Linked DNA regions of Ovis aries. The protein of the gene in region 2 purifies or fractionates together with the protein of the main gene of each other region. This does not show direct contact. Links are inferred from orthologs where the notes say so. Each region holds a gene or a part of one and is shown on either strand. Other genes may lie near its edges. The genes, in order: CEP170 and CCDC68.

Region 1 (3,826 bases), on a different chromosome or scaffold from region 2:
TTTTGAGTTGAACAGAGTTACTTTCTTAAAATAAATGTAGCAAAGGATTATTGCTGAAATATTAAAGACTATTTCATGAAACTTGCAAAAGTTGCAGCTTTAACCTTTATAAACTGATGGATCAAGGGTTTCAAAAATCCAGTCTACTAATAATATTTAATTGAATTAAGAATTACCCAAAATTATAGTGTTCTGGAAACATAAAGATAATTACTTTCTTTTTAAACTTATCCAAATGTGAACTTACTGAAAAGAGAAAAAACAAGTTAATAGAAGATACTTTTCGTAAGCTTCCTGTTTAGCATAGGCCCAAAGCCTTGGTCGTTATCTTGTAGGGTCCTTATAAATGTATACGACTGAGACAGGATTTACTATTGGGTCCTACAGGGAAACACACAGAAGCAATTCATTGCTTGGGAGTGAAACTATCTACTAATCTTATGACTACTGGTTCTCCAAGTTTCCTAATGCCCCAAATTTTAATCTCATGATCATTTCAAGGGAAAAATTTTTTCAACTGTCACATACAAACTTGGTAACACAGGACCTGTATACATGTTCTTAGTTTTAAAAATAGACTCCACCTATAACCTATCTGTCTAGTTTAATCCTTCTACTTATCATTTGCCCTAAAATGAGACAAAATCTTACTTTCACTAAAAAAAAAAAAAAAAAAAAAGGGAAAAAAGTGCCAAATTGATCTTTTTGAAAGTGGAGTAAAACACTGTGGGGTTAAAACAAATACAATTATCAATCTCCTATATACAAAAACCGATGGTTAGTCCTTATTGATATATAGATATGTCCACCTACCACTCCCAGCAAATCTTAGTGCAAACATAATAGTTCATTTCCATAAACCCTAAGACAATTTACGCAGCAACAAAGTTATATAAATCACATATATGTTGGAAAATTTTAGAACACAAGAAGGACTGTTCTGAAAGGTCAGTTTGACTGTGGAGAGCAATGTCATTGTATCCAATGGTAATGAATACTAATATAAATCCTATTATTAAGAAGCAAATATAAGTGTTTAACAAATCTGTACAGACGAACAGCAAGTCCATTTCAGGGAGCAGCTTGGCACAGGAGACATGGGGGTCAGAAAGGTTGGGTTTTTAGTTTGCTTGTAGGTCACAGCATGGCTTAAAGAAAAAAAAAAACAAAGATCTATGAAGGGAAAGGATGCAATTATCTAATTCAATTTGAAAATCATAAAAACCACAAAATGTGAAAGTTTCACAATCTAGATTTTCCTCTATGTGCATCAAATGGTCATCTCAATGGTTCGAAAGGATTACTATGGCTCCATGTTATAGATAAAAAATAAATAAATAAAATTAAGAAGACAGAGATAACAAGATTGCAGTTGACCAAGCTGTCTTATTTTCTCTAAAAGTCAACACTACGCTGTTTCCAATAATTCTAGTCATTCCACAGGTAAATATTTTAACAAGCAAGAGAAAGTCATTCCTGTACTGTAACGTCCTCCTCTTCCCCATCGGGGTTGAACCTATTGAAATGTATACTGAAATCAGCCTCAGACTCGGCATTCTCAAATTCAGCTGAGACCGCACCAGCAGCAGGATGAAGAACCCTAGCTTCTGGTTGGCAAAGTGCCGGTGTCTGACCCGGGCTGCTGTGGTCATTCACAGGACTGGACTTCTGTTTTGGTGGAGATGGCAAGATAGCACTGGGAAATCCCATGTTGTTCAGAGCCTCCAAAGTTCCATCCGGGTCAATCATAGCATTGATAGCTGAAAGAAAGGAAAGGAATAGAGGGAAAAAGACATAACTACAGATGCAGCTAAATTTGGATATGAATATTGCTTATGATTTGGATAATATTTCAATTACTAATGCTTATATGAGCTTTAATTTGGTTAATCCTTCCAATTCTGGATTTAAAACCCCACTTTCAGTAATTCTGGGGCTCATCTATATCATAGATTATAAAAACCTCAAAGCTTTCTATGGTCCCTTGAGTAGGCTACTTACAGGCATCTGAACCTGCTGGAAGATAAGGATTTGGAGATGTGGCATTCAGGAAAGGTCTCTTTGAAATATGCTTTAATCATTACAAGAGGATGATGAAAATACCGGTTAGGACTGAAAGAAATTACTCCTGGCTTTATTACTCAGATTGGAGAAGGCGATGGCACCCCACTCCAGTATTCTTGCCTGGAGAATCCCATGGACGGAGGAGCCTGGTAGGCTGCAGTCCATGGGGTCGTGAAGAGTCAGACACGACTGAGCGACTTCACTTTCACTTTTCACTTTCATGCAATGGAGAAGGAAATGGCAACCCACTCCAGTGTTCTTGCCTGGAGAATCCCAGGGACAGGGGAGCCTAGTGGGCTGCCGTCTATGGGGTCGCACAGAGTCGGACACGACTGAAGCAACTTAGCAGTAGCAGTTATTACTCAGATAATTGGGATTAGTTGCTAAGATGGGGTTCAGAGTAACATGAAAGTTGAGGAGGCAAATAGCAAGCACACTCTGAAGCTATCATAGCATGTTGTCATTCATCCTGGTGAGGATGCTAGGGTATCTGCCATGCACAAGTATATATTTGTGGACCACTGAGCCATAAAAATCCTTCACAGTCTAGATATTCATATTCTATGGCAACCCCAGCAGGCCAAATAGACCTTGCATTCTCCATGGCAAGGGCCAGATAAAGACCAGCTTTCAATCCAAAAGATCCTTGAGTGGACAAGGGAAAGTCTTCAGCAGTGATTTTCAACGTGGTATTGGGTAGAGTGGAGAGTTGAGGAAAAGAAGCCTCACAGACAGAAGAATTATTTAAGAGGTCCTTTTAAAAGCATACTCCCTCCTGCCAGCTAACAATCATGTAAACAAGCCACTTTGCCTCATGGGGGTATACGCTTCGGTGTGCTGAGGCTAAGATTCAGAACCCCTGAGCCAGGACCAACACATCATGCCTATGATAATTCAAATACTGAGTAAAATTAGCAACCGACTCTGGAATCTGCCTGTTTTACCACTGGGGACTTCTAGGTCAAAACACACATAGGCATAAGTGCATAATTAAAGGTCTGACACAACCAAAAACAATGTCCCTGTTAAAGTTTAGGAGGCCAACAGTCTCTTTTTCTTCCCTACTCCCTCTTCTGGTCCCTGTGTCCAATGTGCACTCATTTCTTGTACATCCAAATGATTATTATGACTTATAAAATCGTTATTAGTTCATATGGGTTGTACCACAAATATAATTTAAGAATTATCAAATCAAGTAAACAAAGCTAATTGTCAAAAAGAATTTTCAGTGGCATATACATATTTTAATATATTATTTTACATATTTTTCATATACTATAATTTATGAATATATATAAATAATAGATACTATATTGTATAGAGATACAATATAATCTATATTGTATCTATTATATAGAAACAAATAATAGATACTATATAATACTACGAATTATATTTTTAATTATTTATGCTTTCTTTTTATGAGTAATTTGAATATGTAGAACTTTATATCTTTATTCATACATCACTACACTTAACCAAATAGTGTTCAAATAATTAACAGTATTTTAGAAATATCACTTAGGATGTACTTGTTCTAAAATTGGTAGCTTTTTATACTTAATCAGTAGTAAATTCACCTTGTAGCTGCTTTTCAACTCTTTTTAGCTCTTGTAAGATAGAAGAAATCTCCTGTAGGGAAAGCAATGACAAGAATTAGCTTACTTTAATTAAAACATTTTCATTTGATAAGCAACGAACCTTATACTAATTTTATTTGATATCCTTAATATTACTGACATGGCTCCAATCTGTAGCAACA
Region 2 (3,826 bases):
AGACAGTAAACCTGACTCTCTGGCTGAGCTGATCTCACACAAGAGGGCCCTTGACCAAGCTTCTAATTCAAGTCTACATGGAGAGAGAGTACCACTGATTTCCCCAAGAGAGAAAGGATTTCTGAAAATTTGAATGAACCTTTAACAATGACTTAATATTGATGTGTGTTCAATCACTCAGTCGTGTCCAACTCTGCAACCCCAGGGACTGTAGCTGGCCAGGCTCGTCTGTCCATGGGATTCTCCAGGCAAGAATACTGAAGTGGATTGCCATTTCCTTCTCCAGAGGATCTTCCCAACCTAGGGATTGAACCTGGGTCTCCTGCATTGCAGGCAGATTCCTTACCATCTGAGCCACCAGGAAAGCCCAAAGTATTGATAATAAATAATTATTAAGAGTACATCCCCAGCAAAGCTCTAATTCTTATGCATAGAAGATGAACACACATTCACAAAAAGACACTCATAGACAGACACAGACACCTGCATTCACACAAAGACACAGACAATCACAGTCACACAGACAATCACACAGTCACACACAATCACACAGACACACACATTCACATACAGACATACTTGGACATAGTGTCACACCGGTACACCATCACACAAGGAACTCACACACAGGCATGTCACATACACACAGAGGACACAGTCATAGACAGACTCACAGATACACTGAACATACACACACTCACTTTCACACTGAAATATACAATAGAGGCCCTCCTTACCTGGGCTTCCAGTATGTTAACTTTTTCTTGCAGATCTTCAATTCTCTTATCTTGTTCTTTTAAGTTATTTTTTAAGGCCTCTATCTAAGAATTGAGAAATAGAAATGAAAAAATCTTGCCAGACAATGAAGAATAGTTCCTTAAGTTAAAAATTGTGCCGGTTTCTGTGGTCAAATAATGTTTATCAAATAAACAAAATTAAATCCCGAGCATTAGCAGACTCAGCAGGCTACAGAAAATAGCAGGACAGATTGGCACCTGGGGACAAGAAAGCACACAGCTGGTGCGATTAAACATTTTAATCTTTAGAAAACCCGTTTAAGCCAAGCTCAGCAGGATGCATCCTGTAGGAAGCAACCCGGGTCCTTGTCTGTGACTCGGTCCCATAATGCTTTCCTCCTGCAGAAGCAGAGGCCAGTGGACATGGCGGAAAGCCACAGCCTGGCACAGGGCGACTCCCTGCAGCAGAGATCTGGTCAACCAGACGCATGTAAGGTGAGCCCACTTTGCTCTGGAAGAACATCTGCTAAGAGGCAACGTGGGGATGATGGGGAGGTGGGGTGATGAATTCCAGGATGATGCCGTGAGAGAGGAAGCATGTGGATTCCAAGGCCACTTCTGCCATTTAACTACTGTGGACCTCAGCCTTCCCATCTATAAAATAGGATGCCCCCTCCATCCTCCCTGGCTCTCAAATTGCCACGACTCAACTCTCTGGCCTTTTGGTGAGATCTAGCCAACCAAGTACAAATGCTGCAATTGTATTAGAAAGTCATTTGCGTTATTTGGAAGGACTCCATTTAGAAACAAATATTATATAGCAAACAAAAATGAAGGTCTGGTTTTCAGTCTAAAGCAGATCAATATAAATATTGACATAAATTGACTGTGCAATTCACCATCCATCTGCCTGCCATCACAATGACCTCTTTCACTTGCTGAGATGTTTCCAGTGAAGAAGGGCCAGAACACATCCCTGTGCTACCCCCTATGTAAATTAACCGTTTTTCATGAAATAATGAAAACAGATCATTTCTTCCCTAAGAAGGCTGAATCTCTTAATCTAAAAAATCTTCTAAAGAGCAGTGTACATTACCTGGCTCAGAACACTGTAAAAAAAAAAAAAAAAATCACTGAAACCTCTAAAGAGTAAATATAATTTCCCAAATATGTTCACTGAGAACATCACAGGTGTGGGCAAAGGGACAAAAGAGGACACTGAAAAGAGAGCCATGTCTCATGGGAATAAAAAGGAAATGTCAGTGGGGAGAAGGATCTCAGTTGCAGAGTCCAGACAAGGCGCGTGTATTTGGTCTTCTCACTGTAAACATACCATCTGCCAGAGAAACACACTTGATTAACCTGACCTCCTGGATGACACTGCGCAGGTTCTGATGCTGGGAGTGAATCACAAACTGCAGATGTGAGATCTGCTCCTGGAGGAGGGAAATCTCCTTTTGAAGATCCTGGCAACTAGAAATGCAAAGGAAAAAGGAAAGATTTGCTAATGCATTATACCGCTATTTTTACAGCTGTGCCACCTAGCTCTCCTCCTACACTACTCTCCTACTGGGCAACGTGCGTGTAGGATGCCTTACGCCAAACAAGACACATGAAGACAAACAGCCACGAAGCAGCCTCTGATTAGCTCAGACATGAACTTGAATGTGAAGATCAGTTCCTGTCAAAAGCTCCTCTGGGGCCACCTGTGACTTCCCTCCTTCCAGCAGGTAGCTGAGTCAAGTTGGACTGAGCCAGATGAAGCACTTATGTAACTGATCTGTCTCACCTGTGAGAGCACCCGTAGGCCTAGCAGCCATAACAGACAGATAATTACTGGGATAGTAGGATTAGAACACAGGGCCAGGAATTTTCATATATATCAGAAACCAGTTTTCAGGGATACAGGGTTTAATATATGTAGCGAATTGCCTGTGTTTGCCTTTTAGGGCAGGAGGAGGAGTTACTTGTTTTTGTTAGTTTAACTACCTGTAAATAAGGCAAGAAAAAAAATTAAATTCTGGCTAATATTTTGAGTGCATATCAACCTTGGTGAAGAAAGATGAGTGAAGTTTGAATTTAGATTATTCATCCTTTCCCAAAGCTCCATTTAGGTAGCTGGTATTGATTATACAGCTTTGACTATTTCTCTTCTTTTCACTATTATGAGAGTTTGAGGCAAAACGCCTTGTGGCAAGACCACCAGACTTGGGAGCATTGTGACTTTGGAATCACACTATCTTTCTAAGCCTCAGTACAACAGATATAATAATCCTTAGCTTTACAGCACTACAAGACTGCATGGTACACTTTAAGAGGTAAAGTGAATGTACTTTTGGAAAATGAGTTTTTACAAAGTACTATTTTATTTTAGCGTATTATGGCTTTACAATTAGTAGCCAAGATCCAAGGCAATCGCAATTCTGACTTTTCATAGTCTGCAAATATCACAAAGGTCATGGAAATTCATGTGACACTACAGAACTTGTTCTTATTTTTAAAAAAGAGTTTCCATTGTTTTACATCCTGTGCTAAAGCATTGCTTCTCAAACTTAGTATGTATTGGAAGATCTTATTAAATTGTCAAGAATCTTATAGATGCATACTTTGACCCAACAAGCTGGAGTAGGGTCTGAGAGTCTGCAGTTCCAACATGCTCTAGGTGTTCCAATGATTTTGATGGTCCCTGAGCCAGCCTTTGAGTGCTCTGAGTAGGATAGTACTAAAAACTATGGTTCACCCAATAATGTTTAATATATAATAAAGTTGCTTAAAACCAAGTAGCTTTCATGCAACTTGCAATATTTAAGACAATCTTAATTTTCCCCTTGTTCAGTCTTGTTTAAAAGAGTTTTAAAAAGTTTGTTTTACTGTAGAAAAAATTGCTATAGAAAAAACTATAGTAATGTTTGCACAAGTACAAATGATGTATAAAGATAGCCATCATTATTTATCCTAAGGAATGAAATAATTTCTACTAAAAGTTCTGTACAATTACATACTATATATATGTCATAAAATACACATAAAATATAGTTTATTATTGTCCACAACTTTAAAAATGGAAACAATCTAAATGTTCATCTACA

What was found.
Region 1: the proteins of CCDC68 (region 2) and CEP170 purify together in Homo sapiens (co-immunoprecipitation; 3 studies listed by BioGRID and IntAct, counting the BioPlex papers as one, with this or other methods). This does not show direct contact. The link is inferred for Ovis aries from reciprocal best matches to the Homo sapiens genes CCDC68 and CEP170.

The regions. Positions count from the first base shown.
Region 1 is NC_056065.1:33,284,363-33,288,188, reverse strand, and holds part of CEP170 (centrosomal protein of 170 kDa), read right to left. Parts: intron 3,697-3,826; coding exon 3,645-3,696; intron 1,761-3,644; coding exon 1,471-1,760; 3' UTR 1,149-1,470; coding exon of another isoform or gene 1,138-1,148; 3' UTR 1-1,137.
Region 2 is NC_056076.1:54,630,653-54,634,478, forward strand, and holds part of CCDC68 (coiled-coil domain-containing protein 68), read right to left. Parts: intron 2,211-3,826; coding exon 2,105-2,210; coding exon of another isoform or gene 1,923-2,104; exon of another isoform or gene 822-1,922; coding exon 738-821; intron 1-737. UniProt on the Homo sapiens protein: Centriolar protein required for centriole subdistal appendage assembly and microtubule anchoring in interphase cells. Together with CCDC120, cooperate with subdistal appendage components ODF2, NIN and CEP170 for hierarchical subdistal appendage assembly.